Linked DNA regions of Diceros bicornis minor. The protein of the gene in region 1 purifies or fractionates together with the protein of each later gene. This does not show direct contact. Links are inferred from orthologs where the notes say so. Each region holds a gene or a part of one and is shown on either strand. Other genes may lie near its edges. The genes, in order: TCEAL1 and KDM3A.

Region 1 (11,882 bases):
AACCTCAATGCATTCTGCTCTGGAGTTGGCCAGACGAGTCACTTCTTGGACATGTGATTGAGATACCAGCCTTCTGCCTGGCAGGGAGGTGGTGAGGGGCCCAGAGAACCAGGCTCTGGATCCTGCTGACCCTCCACCATCAATGCCTTCAAAAGCATCTTCACATCAATTCACAGCTTGACTTTCCTGGCCCCCAAGTCGTGGATTGGGCCTGCAGTGCATAGGGATGTTCACACAGGAGGTGAAACCCCTTTTCTCCTGAGTGTAGGACCACATGCCTTTGCAAGCACCCTTTCCCTGGGGTCTCCTGTGTCTCTGGGCCTGGGCTGACACAGACAGCAGAAGCACTGCACCACGTACACACAGAGCTAAAGTCACCGCAAAACCACCCAAACAGGTTGTGGCACATCCGAGGTCCTTCTGGGAGTCTGAGAAAGGTGGGTGGGAGAGGGAAGGTAAGGTCTTGTCTGAGGTTTAACCCCATTTTGTGTGCCTACCTCACTGGACTCTGAGAGAAGGGCTAGCCCCTTCTGCTTCAGCCCCATTTACCTGGTCAGACCCAGGTCAGATATCTGCTTGCTCAAAGACTATCCCAACCAATGTTTCCAGTTAGGAATCCTTGGGGCTTTATCTCCTCCCTTACAAAAGATTCCCCAAATGCGAAAGGGAAAAGGAGGGAAAGGCAAAGTGCTCTGACCTGTGATGGAGACAGTCGTCGTCCTCCAGGTAAGCCTGTCAGGACAGCCCGACCATCAGCGTAGGAGGGTCTTGTGCCTGCTGCAGGCTGGAGCAGAGAAACCAAAGTCAGACCACCCTGGAGAGGAGTGTGGCTTGGGTGAGCCCTTCCACATCCTGCCCCAGTGCCACCCCTCAGAGCGCCAGGGGGCTGGATTCATCCTGCCTTGTAAAACTGCCACAGTGAGCCCCTGGTCCCTCATCTCACTCCAGCTGGAATCCAGCCTGACCAGCATCCATCAGGCTGCCATAACCTTGAAGACTGGTCTGGAGATGTGAGGATCCCCCCAGATGGCATCATATAGTGAAAAAATTAAAACAAAAACAAAGTCAAGGGCATAGAGTTGGCTTACAATTTTGTGAGCTGATTACTAAAGGAGAACTTTGAATTTATTTCCGATGCCTTTTAATCATATTGGAAGGAAGCAATGCCAGGCATTACATAACGTTAATCATGGAAAATACTTCTTGCTATTTTGTCATCTCTCTTAGCCTTTTATTCTGTGTATGGTCTTGCCTTGTTGCAAAAAATCTAAATTTTATGTAGTAAAATTGAAGAGTTTGTTTTTAATTTCTTACTTAAAAATATGCTTGGGGAGGCGGTCTGGTGTCATAGTCGTTAAGATCGCCCGCTCCGCTTCAGCAGCCTGGGTTTTGCAGGTTCAGAACCCCGGGCATGGACCTACGCACTGTTTATCAAGCCATGCTGTGGCAGGCGTCCCACATATAAAGTAGAGGAAGATGGCGCGGATGCTAGCCCAGGGCTAATCTTCCTCAACAAAAAGAGGAGGATTGGCAACAAATGTTAGCTCATTGCTAATCTTCCTCACTCACACACAAAACATATGCTTGGAAAAGGCTTTCACCCTTTTAATTCTGATACACTCATCTATATTTTCTTCTATTTATGTCACAGTTTATTCTTACTAAAACCAAGAGTTGGGCCGGCCCCATGGCTTAGCGGTTAAGTGTGCATGCTCCGCTACTGGTGGCCCGGGTTCGGATCCCGGGCGTGCACCAACGCACCGCTTCTCCCACCACGCTGAGGCCACGTCCCACATACAGCAACTAGAAGGATGTGCAACTATGACATACAACTATCTACTGGGGCTTTGGGGGAAAAAAAAAAAAAAAAAGGAGGAGGATTGGCAATAGATGTTAGCCCAGGGCCAGTCTTCCTCAGCAAAAAGAGGAGGATTAGCATGGATGTTAGCTCAGGGCTGATCTTCCTCACAAAAATAAATAAATAAATAAATAAATAAAATAAAACCAAGAGTACATTGTATATAGCAGTGGCTGTCTAACTTGTGTCCTAATTTACAGAAAAGCAGATTTAGTAGGTCTGGGGTAGCACCCAGGTCTCTGCATATTTGATAAGAGAAACATTGATATATAAAATATTTAAATAATTTTAATGTTGAATTTGGAGAAACAATCCCTCCCCTGACTGTGATCCTTTTGGAATTGCAAATCATACTTTCTAGAGAAGTGAACACACTTACTGAAGTTTACATAGCCAATCAAACAGAAACTCAGGGTTTATGACTGGGTCATAATTTTAAAAAATTGTTAACAACTATTTGTGTTTCTAGAATTAACCAGATCAATAAAAAAATCAATAAACAGGATCAATAAAACAAAATCTTAGGTTTTATAAGGATAGAGAAAGAGAAATCATAACATCTGATACACATACACACATATATATGTATATGCATATACATATACTTTAATGACTTTAAGTACTTTAATGTCTTACGAAGTATTTTTGCATGTTTCTTGTTGATGTGGGGTGGGGCAGAAGGGAAATGTCCTAGCTTGAGCCTAAGTCTTACTTTCCTCTTTAATTTATACAAATTGAGCAAATCAGCTGAACTGGTAAGGCAAGCCTGCCAGAGGCCCCTGGGAGGGAACTCATCCTACGGCAAGTGTTAGACAACAAAAACCCTTGGAGATTATTTGGGAGGGAGATTCCAATTCTGAGTACACAGCATTGTGTCTGGCTCACCAATTTCTCTTCTAGCCCAGGACCCAGTGAACTTATGTTTGATTCCAGTGGAGAAAAGGGAAGCTTTCAGAAAAAAAAAATGGGAAGGACTATTTTGCTAAGAATTCTTTAAGACATGGAGGTTTAAGGAACACTGGGATGGCATCCACCTGGAGAAGTGTTAATATTAAAGCTGGAGAAGGTGCATTCTCCATATATCAGTAGGAGACACAGTTCAGCTTTGGCCCGGCAGGGACTCCAGAGCAATCAGTGAGGCTTTGCGCTGGCACTTTGGACCACGGAAGGAGCAGAACCCAGGAGAAGGAACAGCTGTGCCCAGCAGACATGATTGTATCCAAGGGAAGAGAATAGGAGGACAGAAATAGAATGTGGCACTCACCTGGAATCTCACAGGAATTATTTGTGAGCACAAGTGAGATCTCCTTTGGGTACTACTCTGTGTATTTGAAGGGAATCTATAGGGGCTGGGGTCCTGCATGTGCGGGTGGGGGAAAGAAACACACAGCTCATGCAATCTTTACCTCATTTGGTTCCACAGCAGCCTTGTAAGCCAAGTATTATTCCTATGTAAACGGGAAAAGAATGACCTTTAAACAAATATAAGTACCTGGTTTATATTTCGGCATAAGAGATTCAGAAGAAACATGGGATTTACTTTTCTTTTTTTAAGTTCTGACAAGTATTTATTAAGTGCCACATTGTCTTTATAAGCTGATTGACAGTTTTTTAAATTGTTTTACAATTTTTCATTATATTGGGATTTTTTTGCAACACAAGTAAAATGTGTTCGTGTTGAAAAAATGAGAAATTCCTATAAAGCAAAAATGGAAAACCAAAAAAATCACCTATTATCTTACCACACAGTCACTGTTAAGCCTTTGAAGTATATACTTTCAGTTTTTTCTTTGCATATTAATATATAAATATACATTTTTTTTACAAAACTGGGATACTACATATACTTCTTGAAAATTGCTTTTTTTCACTTCACAATATATAATGTACATCTTTTCATGCAAATGGGTGAGACTCAGGACTGAAAGAGAGGGACTTGCACATTGGGGGGGGCAACCCAATTTTATGCCAGTTACAAGCGAAACACCTAAAATAAAGCCACATAAAAAGTTAAAATTAAGAAGATGGGGAAAGGTATATGAGAAAAATGCAAAGTTCAGGTGGCAATACTTATATCAGGCAAAACAGAATTAAACGCTGAACACATTAAATGGGATAAGGACGGTTCCGTCTTGCCTTCCAGTGCATGATCATCAATTTGTTGCGTACTCTTTTCATCTCTTCCATCTCCTCTGCTACCTTTATCATCTCCTCGTTGCTTAAATTTCTGCCATGTATGTCTCCTCTAAATTGCGGGCGAGAGCGAGCCAGCCTTTCTTTAAAGCTTCCTTCTTCTAGCTTATGTTTTCCCACTCCACAAGGAGGCTGCTCCATGGGAGGGCGCTCCTCAAAAAGGTCCTTCCTAGACAGGCCCTCCTGCGGAGGGCGCTCCTCGGACACGAGCATCTCAGGAAGGAGCTCAGGAAGGAGTTCCTCGGGAAAAAACTCCTCCTCCGAGGATTGCTCCTCCGAAGAGGGTTCCTCCGGGGAGTGCTTTTCAGGAGAGTGCTCCACAGGAGGCCGCTCCTCATCTGCCTTGGGCGCGCTCTGTGGCTGTTCTTCATTCTCTTTGCAGGATTTTTCCATGTTGAGAATCGTCTTTTTTAAGCACAGTTATTCATAGGAGACAAGAAAGGCAGAGTCGAGTCAGAATACTTGATGGCTGGACCAAAACCCGGGCCATGGGTTCCAATAACCTGCCTTTTCCAGATTCGGGGCCCAGGTCCTCCAACCTACGCTTGCTGAGAGGCTTTCTGGCCCTGGGGACCCCGCCGCGTCTCGTCCCCCCGCCCTTGTCGCCCCCTCCTTTCCGAAAGCCCACCATTTTCCCAGCAAGCCTTGCCACAGGCCTCTCCCGCAGTGGCAGGGGCGGGGCGGTGGTGCCGCGGACTCCGCGCCCATCAGCGTCCTCCCTCTCACTCCATCCTAGCCCACTGCCCACCCCTTCCCCGACCTGGACCTCTCCTGGCCGTTTGTTCCCAGGCGTCCTCTCGAGGTGCCCCGCTGCGACCTGCAGACCTGCAGACAGACGCAAGACAGGGTAGGGGGCGGGGAGTGGAGAAGAGGGAAAGACTGACTGACACACACGCCCTTTTTCTGGGCACCAGCCGCCGCCCCCACGCCAGCCCCTTTCTAGTTCCCCTCCCCCCGATGCCCCATCTCAAGCTTGGTCCTCCGTGCCCCTACCCCTCCACCCCGCAATGCTCGTCATTTCTTTTCAGGCGGGAAGTGGAAGCGAAAGATGGCTTAGAAACTATTTCTAAGTGTCTGTGTCTCCCTCCCGGGGAGGGGGGGCTCACTCACCTCCCTACCCCACCTCTAAACCACCATTTTTTGCACCGAACTGTGGGCGCGGGGGGCGGGGCTGGGCATAGGGAAAGGCCTGGACGCTGCCATCCCGATTCCAGGGTTTACGGGGCGGCACCGACACTCACACCGATTTAAGAGGACCAAGGGGACTTACTTCGTTGTGCTTTTCCCCTCGACCAAAGGGCAATAGGCAGACGCTGTCTGGACAGGCAAAAAGGACCAGGACGAGAGAGACTTGGGCAGACACAGGCTCCTGGTCACGTGAGGGCCGCGCGTCACCGCCGAGCTCAGATCCCCAGTTACCGCTTTGACCGGCGGCCGTGCTGCAGCAACCTGACAGTATTTCCTGACCCCCAACACACCAAGCACCGTCACTCACCTCTCTTTGTTTATATTTGCCTTTTCCTGGTTACCAGAGACGATCAGCGTCTAGTCTTGGGGTTTATTGCCTCTTCCTCTCTGCCGCTTTGCCTGATACCCTCTCCCTTATTCTCCTGTCATCAGCCACTAAGGCCCATTATTTCCTCTACAGTCCAGATCCTCCACTGAAATTCGACTATTTCTCATTAATGAATCAATATCATATACCACCTCTCCCAGTTTTAATCCACATTCATAACTCCATCATGTCCACTTAGGCTCGATCAACATGGTTTTCATCTCTTGTCACTTTGATGAAAGATAAGCTTTCACTTTTCCATGACTTCAGGATTTTATTTTTTTTTTGAGCCTTCAGACCTATATTACGAATAGAAGCTCCATTCTAAGTTGGTAATCATTCAATTCTAGAACTCTAGAAAAAGTTGTTTGTAAAGTATATAAATCTAAAAAGATTGAACACTTTGATTTTCATAAATCAAAATACACATTTGTCCATCTAAGTACAAATAGTCTGAAAACTTACCTGAAATGGGAGCATATTTAGTGGAGAGTGTGGCATTATTATATATTTATGTATATATATACACATATATACATACATACTATTATGTGTGTGTATATGTATGTATATACATATATTCAGTAGTTATTATTGGTAATAGAAGAAAGAGATTTTGCTGGAACTCTAAATCCTTAACCAGCCACCTCTGGTGTTGCTGGTTGAGAAAGTTTATATTAGTTCATTAAATCAGCAAATATTTGGGTCCTGGGACTGCTGGACGCAAAAAGATAGATTCACCACAGAGGACATTCCTATTAAACTATGCAATAATTCTGTTAATCACACACTGAGTAGCAGGATTAAAATCATGCTCACATACTCAATTGTCATTACAAGTATATATTTTTGGATCTAATGGTGTTTTATGATCTTCAGCCTCATGCATGCCTCTCACCTACTCGCATCAGCTTGGGTGCTACTTCCTCATGTAGATGCCCTTTCCTCCAGAAATCAGACTATACCTCTCTGTAGTTTACACTTTCAGGGTAGGTGGCCATCAGATCTGTGAGGATCCTGGGATTGTTTTTTTCAAACCCGAGCTGTCTAGTAAGTTTCCAAACAGAAATTCATGTGTGAAATTTCCTGTTTTAAGAGCTTTGTGTCGCTTCTCTCCGTCTAATTTACTTTGTGTTGAGATAGCAGCAAGACAGATATTAGTTCACTTTTATATCGTTTCCACAACTGTTTTACTTTTCAATTTTTCAGTGATGTGTCTTTTAAACCAAGTTTCACTATACCTTCTTTATCCTTTTCACCGATGGTTAGCTTCATCATTTGTGTGGTTTCTTTCCAGGAGGAGCCCCATTTCATTCATTTCTATCCTTTTTTCCCTTACATCCTGGGATGAAGAACTCACTACCTTAAAAGACATCTCATTGAAATTTCAGACAGTTCTAATCATTCAGAGTGTTTTTTTCTTTTGTTGAGCTGAAATCTGCCTCCAAGTAGTTCACACACATTGGTCCTGGTTCTGCCCTCTGGAGTCGTACAAAACAAGTATTTTATAACAAAAGTGCCTTTTACCCTTGATAGCCTGACACTGCCAGAGTTAATGTTCTGGTTCTTTCCCCTTCCCATCTGTGAGACACACTGGGAAATCTACTTGACCTTTCTGTGACTCAACTTCCTCATCTGCAAAATTGGAGATATAGTAATACCTCCCTCATAGGATTGGTAAGAGGGATAAATAAGTCAGTATATGTAAAGGACCTGGAATAGTGCCTAGCACATAGAAAGCACTCTATAAGCATTAACTATAATTATAGTAATAGTAATAATAATAATAGAATGACTTAGTGCTAATAGTACTACTAATTATCATTCTTTTGTTATTAACATTAATTGAGTACTTATGCCAGGCATTGCACTAAGCACTTTCAATATGCTATCTCATTTAATCCTTAAACAATTATGTTCTCACCAAGACTTTTTTTTAGGTTTAATCTCCCCAGTTATTTCAGCTCTTTCTGAGGTGATATATTTTTTCAAAGTCACTCACCATCCTACATGCTTCTGAATTTGTAAATGTCTCTGAAAATACTGAATATTCTGCCTAGTGTAGAATGGAGTGATCTTATCACAGCCCTCATTCTAGAATAGCCACTATACATCTATAGATGCATCCTAAGATCATACTAGATTTTGTGGATGCCATATCACACTTTAAGTTGAAGTCAACTGAGACCCCCAGATCTCTTTCATACATCCCTGTTAATGCACTTGTGTAAATCTTTTTAATTTTAAACAAGTACAGAAGCTTCTGTTTTTCTGGATTAAATGTTGTCCTGTTCGATTCATTCCCTCATTCTTTGAATCCTCATTCTGTCATTCAGGACATGAGCTACAAAATATTAATTTAAAGCACGCCATTAGTACTAAATACGATAATAAATTCAGCAAACTCAGGAAAGATCTAAAGGAGATCTCAGCAAAGAGCTCTGACTCCAAATGAAAAAATTCCTTTTCCCTGTTGGGTGTGCCAGCCGGGAGTGTGCCCTGTCAGGCCAGTTCTCCTCCTTTCCACTCTCAGTAGGACTTCTGAGGGTGGGATTACTTTCTAGTGCTGCTGATAGAAGACACAGTTGCCCCTGAAAGCTGCCAAACCAGTATGAATTAACCCTTGATGAGAACTTGGTAAACTGGGGGGGCAGACAAGGGAGATTTAAGGATTAGAACCGGGAAAGGAGGAATGAAGACTGTGTCTTCATATTGGCTCTAAGTCTCTGCCTTGATTTGGGGTTCCCTTGAAAGAAAGGGCTCTCAAGAAGGAATAAGGTGAAGGTGGTTCTGCCATGGTGACCACCATGTTACAAAGGAATGTGGTCTGCTATTTGTCTCTGTGTGCTCTGGGTGGGGGCCGTGAAATAATTCTGATAGATATGATTTGATACTGCTGATTTAGGGTCCTGTGAAGACCTAAATGGTGCTTGGCTCACTAGTGCTAGTGAGAGTTTAAGTCTAAGGAACTCCATTTTTGTGTGTGTGTGTGTGCGTGTGAGGAAGATCAGCCCTGAGCTAACATCTGTGCTAATCCTCCTCTTTTTGCTGAGGAAGACCGGCTCTGAGCTAACATCTGTTGCCAATCCTCCTCCTTTTTTTCCCCCAAAGTCCCAGTAGACAGCTGTATTCATAGTTGTACATCCTTCTAGTTGCTGTATGCGGGACGCGGCCTCAGCATGGCCGGAGAAGCGGTGCGTGGGTGCGCGCCCAGGATCCGAACCCGGGCCGCCAGTAGCGGTGCGCGCACTTAACCGCTAAGCCACGGGGCCGGCCCTAAGGAACTCCATTTTAAAGGTGCGATAACTAAGGCTCTGAGAGGTGACAAATTATTGCCATGGAAACAGATGATAGTAAGTAGCCCAGATGGGATTTAAACCCTGGCAGTAGGACATGAATGATTGAACCTTAAACCACTTTGTTAAACTGCTCCTGGGCAGTGGGCTCCAGACACCTTTACACGCAGCCGGGGTGTGCGGCACAGGCCTTTTCAGGTAGCGGGAGCTGAAAGTATCAGAAGGCAGGCAGGGCAGCCAGGCGGGCAAGGGGGAAGGCAGTCAGCCCCTGGCAGCTGCTGCTATGACAACAGCCTCCAGGGGCGAGGCCTTTCTCTGGGGGATCTGAGGAAGCCCAGGATGGGTTTCTGGTTCAGAGATTCCTGTTCCCTCGTGAGGCTGCACTTCTGTGGCAGAACAGAGCCCCCTCCCTGTGAGCCCCTCTACAGCACAGACCCCATAGAGGTCTGGTTTCATTTTGCAGAGCCTGTCTGCCCTCTCCAGCCCAGAGGTTCCCCTGCTGCTTCTGCAGCCTCTGCATTCTTTCCTAATGACACCTATGGCAGTACTTTGGTCTCAAGACTTGCTGCTGTGCGCTGCAGCAGGCCCTGTCCAGCCTGTGGCTCTCAGGCTCTCCTCTCCCGCTCCCCCGCCCCCACCCCAGGGGAAATAGCCAAGTGGGAAATGCAATGATAAGAGCCTTCTCTTTGCTGCTTCTGGCCTCACACTAACTGGGTCTAGACACACACACACACACACACACACACACACACACACACACACATCCTGTACATGCCCAGAGAAACAAGGAAGGGGCTCTGAGGAAAGGTAGAGTAGAAACTCAGGCTGCTAGGAAACACTCAGGGACAGGAAAGGCAGGTCCAACATTGGCCCAGAGGGAGAGAGTCCCAGGCTCTGGGCTAGGCAGGACTCAGGCTGTCACTCACTCGCTGGAGGGCTCTGGAGGCCTGGGAGCCTTCTACCCCTCTCCTTGCCTCTGTTTGTGTCCTTCTTCTTCTCCCTAAAAGGTGGGGGGAGGGGCAGTGGAAGAGCAATGAATGAGGTCCCCTCCAACTCTAGGGTGCTATGACTCCACGCTGCCCAGCTCACAGGGGCTTCTCTGAGGAACACCGTTTGGCCTGAGTGGGGACCTCTCCTGACAGTGGCTGCTGCTGCTTTTTCCGGAATCCAGAGGAGCCCAGAGCACAGAACCTGTGCTGGTCTTCCCTGCTGGGCTGCAACACTCACAGCCTTACTCTTGGCCTCAGGGACTCTCACAAGGGCCCACAACAACCCCAGTCTGAGGTCTGGGTGACAGAGGTTGGAACAGAGGCAGGGTAGGCTACATAATTTGCAGGACCCAGTGTAAAATGACAATGCAAGGCCCCTTGTTCACAAAGCAAGAAAAAAAGTGCCATTAAAAGTACTAAAATATAAAGCTTTTCTTTCTCCTGTGGTCTTTCAACTTATTTTTTTTAATAGACTTTATTTTTTAGAACAGTTTTAGATTTAGTTTAGAGAAATTGAGAAGATACTATAGAGAATTCTCATGTACTCCATACCTAGTAGCATCTTACATTAGTATGGTGTATTTGTTATAATTAGTGAACCAATATTGATACATTGTCATTAACTAAAGTCTATATTTTATTCCAATTTCTTTTGTCTTTACCTAATGCCCTTTTTCTACTCCTGGATCCCATCTAGAATACCACATTACTTTTAGTTGTCATGTCTCCTTAGGGTCCTCTTGGCTGTGACAGTTTCTCAGACTTTCTCTGATTTTGATGACCTTTACAATTCTGAGTACTAGTTAGGTATTTGTAGAATGCCCATCTATTGGGATTTGTTTGGTATTTTTCTCTTGGTTAGCCTGGGGTTATGGGTTTTTGGGAGGAATAGCACAGAGGTAAAGTGCCATTTCAACACATCATATCAAGGCTACGTGTTATCAATATGATTTATGACCATTGATGTTGACTTTGACATGGTGCTTTTTATTTGTTATTTAATTTTGTTCTAAGTAGAGGAAAATTAAAATTTTAAATTATTAGCATAATTATATAGTTCATCTTTATATTGTACAATGCCATTTTAAATGCAAATACAAGAGCATTTGACTCATATGCAGAATCACCAAAATTGCACAATTCATATTTTGTAGCTCATACGTGCATATGTGTTTACTTCTTACCAGAACAGTGGAAATGCTACACAAAACCAACTCAGCTGTTTGTATTTGACTTCTTGATACTTGCAAATGTGCCCATTTTACAGAGGGACTGAAAGGAACGGGAACTGTGCGTTGCTCTATCTTTCCCTTTCCTTCTTTGTCATCATTTTCAACACAAGTGGTTGGCAAACACAAGGAAGTAACACATGTAAGAAAGGATATGATTGGGTTTCTTTGTCCCTTGTGTTTCTTAGAATGTGATTCTGTGTTGGAAGTAAGTTCTGAATAGAACCAAATGGGTGGCCTCTCCTGGCTGTCTTCAGTCACAGAAGTAATATGCTTACCATTTACTTGCTTTGAGTCTTGCTGAACTCCCATGCATCAAGGGTCCACTGGAATTTTGTGCTCATGGGGCATGGGGAATGCAATATGCAAATGGTGCAGCAAGAATGGCAGACACACGTGGCATATCTCCTTTCCTGTCCTTTTGCAAATACCGTGCTGTCTTGATTACTGCAGCTTTACAGGAAGGCTCAAAGTCAGGTATTGTCAGTCCTCCAATACTGCTCTTTTTCAGGATTGTTTTGACTGCTACAGATCCTGTGCATTTCCTTATAAATTTTAGAATCAGCTTGTCGATTTTTACACAGAAAGCCAGGTAGGATCTTAATTGAAATTATACTGAATATACAGATCAAACTGGGGAGAATTGCCATTTTGATAATCTTGAGTCTTCTGATATGTGAACATGTATACATCATAATTTTTTTAGATCTTCCATAATTACTCTCAGCAATATATTATAGTTTTCACTGTACGAGTCTTTAT
Region 2 (11,665 bases), on another chromosome or scaffold:
CCGCATATACGATGGTGGTCCCATAAGATTAATACATTATAGCCTAGGTGTGTAGTAGGCTATACTATCCAGGTTTGTGTAAGTACACTCTATGATGTTTGCCCAAGGGCGAAATCGCCTAACAATGCATTTCTCAGAGTGTATTCCTGTTGTTAAGTGACACATAACTGTAGTTCTCATTCCAAATTGTGTTCTTTCCCACATGCTCCCATGGTCCACAAAGGAAATGCTATTTATGCTGTCTGACTCCAAAGGCCAAAGAGAGGCCTATTAAGTATGATTCACTACCTATAATTTCCAAATTTGCTATTCTTTTAATAGGGCATCTTGTAAATGTATACCTTATTAGCCTATCAAATATCTTGACCAGATGCTGGATATTTCAAATTAATTATTTCAAGCTAATTTCTCCCCAACAGAAAATCTCTTTAGATATATGAATTAGTATTATATCTAATCAAACTAATCTCAAAAGCTCCCACTATTTTTTTTTTTTTTTTTTTGTGAGATCAGCCCTGTGCTAACATCTGCCAATCCTCCTGTTTTTTTTTTGCTGAGGAAGACTGGCCCTGGGCTAACATCCGTGCCCATCTTCCTCCACTTTATATGGGATGCCGCCACAGCATGGCTTGCCAAGCGGTGCATCAGTGCGTGCCCGGGATCCGAACCAGCGAACCCCCAGGTCAGCTGCAGTGGAGTGCGTGCACTTAACCGCTTGGGCCACCAGGCTGGCCTCCTCCTACTCACTCTTAGCACACACTAATCTCACCTGCGTAAATGATTATGAAAACCATCAGAAATGCCAAGTAAAGTGTTTCTAAGTTTACAAGTAAACACTTACAGATAGCATGGTGCTTAGTCAAGTAGTTCGTTTTTTTTTTCCCCCTTTTTGTTGAGGAGGATTGGCCCCCAGCCAACATCTGTTGCCAATCTTCCTCTTCTTGCTTGAGGAAAATTGTACCTGACCTAACATCTGTGCACATCTTCCTCTATTTTGTATATGGGAAGCCACACAGCATGGCTTGATAAGCAACATGTAGGTCCGCACCCGGGGATCCGAACAGCGAACCCTGGGCCGCCAAAGCAGAGTGCGCAAACTTACCCACTACGCCACCTGGCCAACCTCCAGTCAAGAAGTTTTTAACGACATATCTATTCTATGCCCAGCACTATAACAAAGAATACCACTTATTTCACTACTCCACAAATGAGGAAATTAATTCATTATGCTTCTACTTATGTCTTCTTACATCTAAATAAAATGCTGTCTAAAATCCCAGAGTCTACCATTCAATTATAGGGAGTAAATAGTTTTTATTACATTGTGCTAGGAGTTTCTCATTTTACATAGTTTGACTGGCAGCAGAATTCACTAACATTCCAACTCACCAAAGTTCCAACTGTATGCAAGGATGAAAGGCTAGGCATTGGTAAAGGAACCTAACTACCAGAAAAGGCTTTAATAGCAGGAAATGGAACATATAGGTGGCAAGTACTACTCTTCTGCTAAGGACATCCCTAGGGACTAAGAAGGGGCAGAAGACTCAAGGAAAAGGTAGGTTCAAAAGAAGGGAAAGATCCCGACAGCCAAGTTGGGGAAGGAAGGCATTCCCAGCAGGCATCACAAACAAAGCTAGTTAGGAAGCAACTTGCCTCACACTCAAGTTTAAAGAGTAGGATAAAAATAAGGTTAAAGAGGTCGTTATAACCACACCTAATTAAGATCTGTTGTTATTCCAGTTAAAGAGAATACCACTGCTCCATTGGTAGATTATTTCTAAACTGCTTTTCAGTGTAGAGGTAATAATTTTATGATTCCTTCATTTATTCATTCAAATATTTTAGCAAGCACTACATGCCAAACAGTGTTCTGGGTGCTGGAGATACAGAGTCCAGCAAAATATAGTGTTCTAACCTCACTCTACCTGAATGTTAAAGCCTAGTGTTTAAGGTCTAGAGACAAACTTGGGCAAGTTATTTAACTTCTTTAAGCCTCAATTTCTAACACTAAAAAATGTGGTTTATCATCTAGGATATTTGTGAGGATTAAAGAAAATATTTGCCACATAATAAGCATTTAATCATTATTATGTCTTCACCCTAACTTCTTTGTAATCAACTACTAGACATACTGTATCTGAGTAACTGACTTTGTTACAAAGTCTTTCTCTACGTGAAACAAAGTTAAGCCTTGGCCTCATTAACATCATCCTCAACTAACTAAGCAAATCAGTCTAGACAGACTTGTACTTCTACTAATACTAAAACAGCTGCACACTACTTGAATTTTATTCATTCATATTCATCTCAGCTACCAGTCCCACCCCACCCCCAAAACCTCAATACCCCTAAGCCCAGGTGTACGACTGTGGTCTTAGTTCCCATCTGCATCTCACCAAGCACAATTTGTTTCTGGTGTTTTAAAATTCTATGTTTTTGCTAACACAACATGCCCCTAAACTTAAGCCAATTCCTCCTTTTGCTACTCAACTAAGGAATGCAGCAATAAATCATGATTAGAAAAAAGAAACTGAGTAGATTTGCACCTGACATGAGGGCTGAATTGTGACGTCCGCAGGTAAAGCAAAAATCCAATACAGTCAAAACTGTTCTTGAATTAAAATTCCCCATTGTCTCCAAGTTAGGCACCTTAGTGCAGTGGGAAAGACACATAGCCAAACCTAGATTCAAATCCTCCTTTCATCAGTAGGTAATTCTGCAAGTCTGGACAAGACTTCTTTTCCTAAGTCTATTTCTTCATTCAGAAAAGACAGATACCACCACCCCAAAGGTTGGGGGTGGGGGAGATGTGGAGATTAAAAATACACATGAATGACCTCCTAGATTGCCTTCCCAACTCAAGAGGTCCTCAATTACTGCTGGGTAAGGGAACATCTAGTCTCTCATCATCTGCCAAAGAACTAAAGACTGTAAAGCTTAAATCAAATCTTGTTTCCATTCAAATCAGATAAAAAACAAATACAATAGAGAAAATTTTAGTTGGCAGGTGAAATAAACCACAACAACTATGACTGAAATCTACTACACAAATCCCATTTTATGGAGAAAAGTTATTAGCCTAAAGGAAATAGGTTGGCCATCTCTGCACCACACTACTTTCTATAAACATCAAAACCCAGTTTTCGCTAGGAGGAGTGAAACAGAGGAGAAAAACCAAACCTCACAGTGTATGACAAGAGTCCTTTTGTGGCACAGCCCTTGATCAGGGAGCATGATGGTTAAGAGGGTGGGCTCAGGAGTCAAAACTGCCTGGGTTAGAACACAGACTATGCCAATTCCCAGATATGTGATCTTAGGAAAGATACTTAACCTCCCCCAGCCACAGTATTTCTGACTATAAAATGGGGCAACATTAGTACCTACTCCCAAAGAACTGCTGTGAGAATTAAATAAGATCATGGCTGTGAAGTGCTCAGCATGCCTGGCATGTGGTTAAGTGCTCAATAGTCACTCCTTTTCAACATGAAGACAAGGCACACTGGAAGCTTTACAAATATATAACCATACATCCTTTCCCCACAACGTTTTGCAAACTAATACTGGTTTGGGCATGCATCGTCACCCTGAAAGTATTCAAATGAACAGTGTTTCAGAAATCAACACATATTCAACTGCCAACGCTAAAACTTGTTTCCCTTATTTGAGCACAGTTTTCAAGAAAAAGCAAAGACAATGGCCAAGTGAAGACACTGAAACGCGTCTATTACCCAGAGTGGAAATCTCTTCTATTCTGACAAGCTTTCTTCAAGTTATCATCCCTTCAAAGTCTTTGTTAGGGACCTTTATTCAGTTATTTTTGCACAAAGGAGTCTTTGTTGGTACAATGGCTTCCTCACTGGTTGTTCTCACACAATCCTTTCACACCAATACTTCTATTAGGGAATACAATAAGAATTCATCTCTTTTTGAAAAGATCTAACTGAAAAAGGTTCTGAGTGTCATTCTGATTAAAAATCACTGGCCGCACTTGTTCCCATTTCTCTCCCTCCCCCCAAACACCCAAGTAGAATATTTCGAAGCCATTCCTCCAACACACCATATAAGGGGCAGCTTCGCCCCTTCCCTCCGCCCCATCCCTCCATATATGGTCATATCCCACACCCACCCATAGACTCATCATAGACAACCAGGAACCCACTCCTGCCCCGACCTACCATATACGGACAAATACCCACCCTAATATGCCGAACAGAGCTAAGCTCCTCCCTCTACACTCACACTTCATTTCTAACAAGCCTGAAAGTTTAAGAAGTTGGGTGCAGAAATCAAAAGGAACACACAAAAAAACCAACTGAAAGCCCTTCCAAGTGCTAGTCCTCAATTCTTAATGATTCCAAACGTCACCCACTTGTCCAACTTCATGTTAACAATACTCCTTCGGAGAAATAATCATACAGCCCTAGTAGGGCACATCGCGGGCAATAACGAAGCGTGTCTGAACAACTCTAAGCCCATTATCAAACACAGGCAACTCCAGGCCAAGCACACCTCGGTTCTACACAACCATTTCAAAGACTTTCAAGGTCTAGTTCTCTGCACCTTCAGATCAGATGCCAACTTTCTGGTTGCCCTTTTCAGAAAAGGGGAGGGGGGTGCTGGCTGTCTCGTTACCAAGGTAACTACCAGACGTCCGACCGCCGAGGCCCGGGAGCCAGTCTTACCTTCAGATCCTTCTTGGTAACGTCGGGGTGGGAGACGGCTCGGATGGTCCCGGAGAGCCAGGGCCACTCGGCGACGCGCTCCACGTCCCAGCTGTCGTGGCCGCCGTCGCTGCCGTCGGATGCGGACAGACTGAGGAATCGCTTGCCCACCAATACTGGCCAACTTTCTCCGAGCGTGAGCACCATGGTTTCCACGCCTGCAGGAAGGGCTCCTCCCTGCAAAAACACAAAAACAAAATGCAACCGTGGCGGCCGGTGGGAGGGGGCCGGGAAGGGAGGACAGGGGAGGCGGGGGCGGAGGGAGGGGTCCTAACCTTGCTCCGAGGACGAGACCCCCAAGCGGCAGCCGGTGCGAGGGAGGACCCCGCACCCGAGCTCTCCACCCGCGCCCTCCCCGCCCCCCGATCCCTCCCCCACCGCAAACACGGGCCCAAGCGCCGCGTGACCCTCGCTCTCCCAAGTTTCGCTTTTCCAACACCTTAAACCTAATCGCAGAAGGAGTGAGGGGAGAATTACTGAGGCTTCAGTGGATTTTAAAGTGTTCGCCCCTCACCCCGGAAAAGAAAAGGCCCGATGTGGAGGGCCCGTCCCAGGCGGCCGGGTCCCCGCCCCGGGCGGCCCCACGGGAGGGGCGAGCCCGCGGTTCCGCACTTGCCCCGCCGCCGCGCCCCGACACCCCGCTTCCCGGCTGCCGACCCCCGGGCGCCCCTCGCCCTGGCCTGCGCCGCGACGCGGGGGCGCCGGGGCCGCGGGTTCGGCGCCTTCACCTTTCTTCCTCCTCTCCCCTCAGCCGAGGCCGCGGCGCTCTTACCCCGCCTCCCGCCTCCCTGAGTCACCCGCGGCGGCCGCCGTTTTCAGCCGCCCAGCCGACTCTAGCTCTGACTTGGTTCAAGAGCTCTCACAAGACACGCACAGCCTCCCGGGCCCGCCCCCTCGGAGCCGCTTCCGCCGCTCATTGGCTGATTCCGAAGAGCTGGGCGAGGCTCGTGGCGAAATAGCCCATCGCCATTGGCCTGCCTGGCGAGGGCGGGGCGAGAGAAAAAAACAATTCCTTGGCTGCCTCCTCCCTTTCCCCTCCCCCTTCCGACTCCCGGACGACCCCCATTAGGTTAAAGTACACAGAGCGTAAGCGAGATATCCCTCCGCCACAGCCATTCTTTCCGTTTGTTGCCTCACGGTATGCAAAAAAGTCCCGCGAAATTGGTTATCAACTTTAGGCCCCAGAGGAAAATTGCAGTGGTGCACAGATAAGACTGAATGGCGAACCCCAGGGCTGGAAGTGCCTATTGGATTGCTCTTCAAGTGCGTAGGCTGTCGACCGAAGATGGGCCTTCCACTTGGCGGAAGAATCTCACAGGAAAGGGGTGAGAGCGGCGCAGAGTCGGTGGGGGAGGGAAGGGACGGGAACGTGCGGTTTCGAGCGTACTCAGCTAGAGGGAGGAGCGACAGTGCTCTGGAGGCTCGTGCGCAGGCGCCTCGCGGAGCAGAGGCTGGAGCTTGGGCTGCTGGGTGAAATGGCCGCGGGAGGCGCAGGCGCACGTGGTGTTGGTCATGGAACGTCTGAAGTCCGCCATTTTGAAGGAAAAATGAAGAAAGGCATGGGGTCTTTGGGAAATGACGTTCATTAAATCTAGAGCAAAAGAGGCCGCACAGTACAATGCAGAATGGGATTTTTTTTAATGTAAAGGGAGGATGAGAAGATATTCTGAGACACAAAGAAATTGAAAGATTAGAGGAAGGCCATAAGGATGCAAGAAATATGAAAGAGGAGGTAACTTTGAAGGACAAAGGAGATAAGAGGTGATTGCTTGGGAGGTGAAGTTTCTTGGTTGAATGAAGAAGAAATGGAATGAAGGAATTGAAGACCTCTTACTTTATAAAGGCTTGTGGTTGACATGGCATCACATTTAATCTTTAAGATAATGATAGAAGAATTTATGCTCCCAATTTTACAAGTGTGAAAACAGCATCAGAAAAAGTTTAGAAACTATTCAAGGGATTATAGATGCAAGTTAACTCCAGGTGTTGATTTTAAAAATATATGTTTTGAATATGTGATATTAAATAAATTTTTAAGAATAAATACTAAAGAATTAAATTGAATTTATAATTTGCAGACGATTAAAAAGGGGGGAAATGGAACAAAGAGAACCTCTCCAATCAAACAAAAGTCAGAAATAGGAACAAGAAAAACTAGACAGAAGTATGGTAAATAGAAAAATTAAAATAAGAAGAGTAAGTCCAAACATGAGTATTTACAATAAATATAAATGGGTTAATTTTACTCATAAATTGAAAAGACACATTGGATTAAAAACAAAATCTGGCTATAAATTAACCACAAGTGAACTCCAACAGCAACACAGGAAGCTTGAAAATATTGGGTTAAAAGATTTACTAATCAAATGGTAATTGAAGGAATGCAATATAGCAAAATTAACATAATTGAAAGCAAAAGCATCAAAAGAGAAAAGGATTTTATAATAATAAAGGATAAAGTCCATAAAGATAATATAGACTCTTGAACTATTAGGACTCTGGATACATAGCCTAGCCTAAGCTAAGACTAAACTATAAGAACTACAAAAAATTTTGACAGTTTGTAGTCAGAGTAGAAGATACAAATACATCTATCTCAGAAATAGGCACCTCAGATAGATTTTTAAAATAAGTGAGGGTATGGAGAACTTAGATTACATAATTAACTATTATTTTGAAAGACAACCATGAGGGACAAGTTCTACCAAACTTTAAAGAATATTTAATTTGTATGTTATATTAATGGTTCCAGAACTTAAGAAAGATGGGAAAGAGATCTGATGCATTTTATAAAACTTGAAAAACCCTGTTATCAAATATGAACCAGGAAAATACAAGAAAGGACAACTATAGTTCAATCACATGTGTGAATATAGATGTAAAATTCTTATATAAAATACCAACAAATTAAATCCAGCAGTATAGAATAGTTTGAATGTTTGAATATTGAATAGTTGAATTAATCGCGATGTTTATTGAGCAAAATATTTTGAATGAAAAAGAAAGCGGCATTTGGTACTATTTAAAAATACACACACAGGGGCCGCCCGGTGGCACAAGCGGTTGAGTGCGTGTGCTCTGCTGTGGTGGCCTGGGGTTTGCAGGTTCAGATCCCGGGCGCGCACTGACACACCGCTTGTTGAGCCATGCTGTGGCAGTGTCCCATATCAAGTGGAAGAAGACGGGTATGGAGGTTAGCCCAGGGCCAGTCGTCCGCAGCAAAAAGAGGAGGATTGGCAGATGTTAACTCAGGGCCAATCTTCCTCACACACACACACAAAAAATACACATGCAAAAGTAATGCTGTATATGTTCTATGAAATATATATATTAAAACTTGTAATGATGGTTAGTGGTGTTTGGGGTGCTCACTAGAACTGGGGGAATTGGTCAAAGGGGATTTAGTATTATTTGTAATTCTCTCATTTTTATAAGGCAAATGTATTCATATGTAACTTTTGAAATTTAAAGTTAGTTTTAAAATCCTGTAAGTGGAATCTACTACATTAACACTCAAGAGCATTAATGACAACTTATTAGAACTAATACAAGAGTCAAGAAGTTGGTGCAGTAAAAGATCAACAAACAAAACTCAAAAGAATTCCTATTCTGTAACAAGCATCAATTAGAACATATAAAAAAAGAAACCATTATGATCATGAAAACTACAGAATATCTAAGAAAAAACATAACACGAAATAAACAAAACCTATTTGAAGAAAACTATAAGGCTTTACTGACATGCATAAAAGAAGATTCGAAAAATTCCATCTCCTTATACAACTTGATAAAGTAAAGATGTCATTTCTCCTCAAATTAACCTAAAGTTTCAATGAATGAAAGAATCAAAATAGAAATATGTAAAAAGTTAAGAGAATTCAGAAACAGACCCACGTATATATGAAAAATTAGTTTATGATTAATGCACCATTTCAAATGAGTGTAGATAATAAACTATTCAATATATGCTTTGTGGTCTATTGGTTATCCATTAAGAAAAAATAACAAAGTCAAATCCCTACATCAATATTCACAAAAATAGGTTCCAGGTGGATCAAAGAGCTAAATATAAAAATCTAGTAAAATATTTTAAGATTCCTTCCCTTTTCCTTCCTCCTCTTTCCTTTCCTCTTCCAGAACATTTTAGTCCTAAAGCCATTAGGAGCGCAGAGCAAGGTAGGTTTTCATAAGCAGAGGCTGCCTGGCATGGAATTTTTGAGCTCAAAAAAGTAAGGAGTAGTGGCCTTGCATGGGGAGTTAAAGACCAAGTGGCCTTCTGTTGACACAGAAAGCCAACCCAGCATGGGATATCTAGATCCCCTGTGAGATGAGGATGGCATCTGTGAATGGAGGCAGCCTAGTGTGGTATGTTCAAGTCCAGACAGGAGGAAGAGACTGCTCACGTGGGGGAAAAGCCTGGCACAGTGTATCTGAGCCTGAGGAGGGTGAGGAGAGTGTTCATGCAGGAGCGTGGTTTGGCATGGGATGTCAGTGCTCGAGGAGGGTGAGGAGAGCATTCGTGCAGGAACTGTCAAAGGACACTGAAAAGACCAAGAAAGGTCTTAGAAGCAGGAGGAGAACTAGGAGGATTGCATCCTGGAAACAAGGCAGGAGAGAATTTCAACTTGGAGGACCATTCAGAGAGGCCAAAGGAGACATTGAGGTCAAGGCAATTGAAGGACTGAGCAGCAATATATCAACACTTCCAACCAATATATTTTAGCTTGGAGGTTTTGCCAGAAATCACCTCTCGTTAGTAAAAACTATTACGTAAGCCCCAGCATACACATTCCAGTCAAAATCCTGCCACTAACTAGCTGAGTTGACTTGAGTTGTCCCCCTCAAGGAACAACAGAAGTTCCCAAAAACGTTTAAGAAAGTTAGCAACTAGAAATTTGGAATCTGTTTGGATCTTGATTCCTCAACTGCAAAATAATTAGAATACAATATTTTCTGTCTAAAACTGCTTTCATTAAACAACACAAGAATGGTGTTATGTGTGAAAATTTAAATGTCTTGTGCTATTTCTGTTAATGCAGTGCACCTGTGACAATTAATGAGGCAAGCAGAGCATCAGTGCTAAGCTTCTTGCCTGTTTTTTTTTTTAAGACTTTTTCTGTTGAGGAATAATTTACATCCAGAGAAATGCACAGATCTTACATGAACAGTTTCATGAGCTTTACAAAGGCATACATCCATATAACCCGCAACCCTATCAAGATATAGAAGAAGGGTCAGCCAACTACGGCCCACAGGCCAAATCTGGCCCACTGGCTAATTTTCTACAGCCTGTGAAGAATGGTTTTTACTTTTTTTTTTTTTTTTTAGAGGAGTGGATGCCACTCTGCAAGCAGCATCTTTTTTTTTTTTTTTTTTTGAGGAAGGTTGGCCCTGCGCTAACATCTGTTGCCAGTCTTTCTCTTTTCTTTTTTCTCCCTAAAGCCCCAGTACATAGTTGTATATCCTAGTTGTAGGTGCTTCGAGTTTTTCAGCGTGGGACACTGCCTCAGCATGGTTTGATGAGTGGTGAGTAGGTCCATGCCCAGGATCCTAATGGGCAAACCCAGGGCTGCTAAAGCAGAACGCGTGAACTTAACTGCTCTGCCAGCGGGCCAGCCCCTACATTTTTTAATGTTAAAAAAAAACCTCTAGAATAATAATAATACTTTGTGACCATAAAAATTATACAAAATTCAAATTTCAGTGTCTATAAATAAAATTAGAACACAGCCACACCCATTTGTTTATGTTTTATCTAGGGCTAATTTCACACTACAATGGTAAAGTTGAGTAGTTGAAGAGACTGTGGGACCCTTGAGGGCTAAAATATTTACTCTCCCTCCCCTTACAGAAAAGGTTTGTCAAACCCTGATAGAGAACATTCCATCACCCCTAAATGTTCTTAAGTGCTTTTTTCTAGTAGTTACCCCTGCCCAGAGTAACCTTTTATGGTGATTTCTATCACCATAAATTGGTTTTGCCTGTTCTTGAATTTTATTTAAATGACGTAATACAGTATGTACTTCTCTTGTGTCTAGCTTCCTTTACTGAGCATGTTTTCGAGATTCATCCATGTGATTACATCTGTAAGATGTTTATTCCCTTTCATTGCTAGGTAGTATTTCATTGTCTGAATATGCCATAGTTTGTATATCCATGCTCCATTAATGGATGCCTGAACTATTTTCAGTCCTTGGCTATTATGAATAATATAATTATGAATATGTTTAAGTCTACTATCTTAGTCTTTGATTTCTGTTTTATTTGCTCTGCCTTTATATTTTTCAACATTTAAACTCTTTCTGCTATTCTTCATTCCTTCCTGCAAAGCCATATTCCTATCCAATATAATTTCCCTTCAGTGTAATGAACTTTTTAAAATGGATTAACAATTTATTCAGTAATTTAGATGGCATAAGGACCAATAAAAGGAATAATCTGATAATGTTCATTGTGCAATTCTGCCCATTGATAACACTAAGCCAAGACTTGGATATATATTCCACTCAGTTGCATTACATGTTTCCATGTGGGCAATTTGATCAAGAAAAAGAAAATGTGTATACAACATCAAGCTGTTTTTCTTTTTCATTTTTAAGAACAGCTCAATGATTTGGGGAGAGAGTTATACAATACAGAGAACATAAGGGGAAAAATACAAAATGGCACTTAGCACCAATGTCAGGACTTATCTCGTTATGGTTATAACTAAGGATTATTAATTTTTGTATTATTCACTTTGCTTTTGAGCATACATCAAAGCCATCAATTTAACTTGAGGCATATACACAATACATACACAACTGTATGAAAAATACTATTCATAAGTAACATTACATTTTAAAATATTTGAAACTGAATATCAATGCTGATTTGTATTTTGACTTAATGGAACAAGAAGAGAACAACATTCAACTAGGAATGATTATACTGATAGTAAAGCT

What was found.
Region 2: the proteins of TCEAL1 (region 1) and KDM3A purify together in Homo sapiens (affinity purification with mass spectrometry; 3 studies listed by BioGRID and IntAct, counting the BioPlex papers as one, with this or other methods). This does not show direct contact. The link is inferred for Diceros bicornis minor from reciprocal best matches to the Homo sapiens genes TCEAL1 and KDM3A.

What each region holds. Positions count from the first base shown.
Region 1 is NC_080781.1:96,662,953-96,674,834, reverse strand, and holds TCEAL1 (transcription elongation factor A protein-like 1), read right to left. Parts: upstream 5,499-11,882; 5' UTR 5,322-5,498; intron 4,877-5,321; 5' UTR 4,812-4,876; intron 4,457-4,811; 5' UTR 4,445-4,456; coding exon 3,965-4,444; 3' UTR 3,338-3,964; downstream 1-3,337.
Region 2 is NC_080751.1:3,629,388-3,641,052, forward strand, and holds the start of KDM3A (lysine-specific demethylase 3A), read right to left. Parts: upstream 5,566-11,665; 5' UTR 5,494-5,565; exon of another isoform or gene 5,396-5,493; intron 5,260-5,395; exon of another isoform or gene 5,236-5,259; intron 4,899-5,235; 5' UTR 4,869-4,898; coding exon 4,683-4,868; intron 1-4,682. UniProt on the Homo sapiens protein: Histone demethylase that specifically demethylates 'Lys-9' of histone H3, thereby playing a central role in histone code.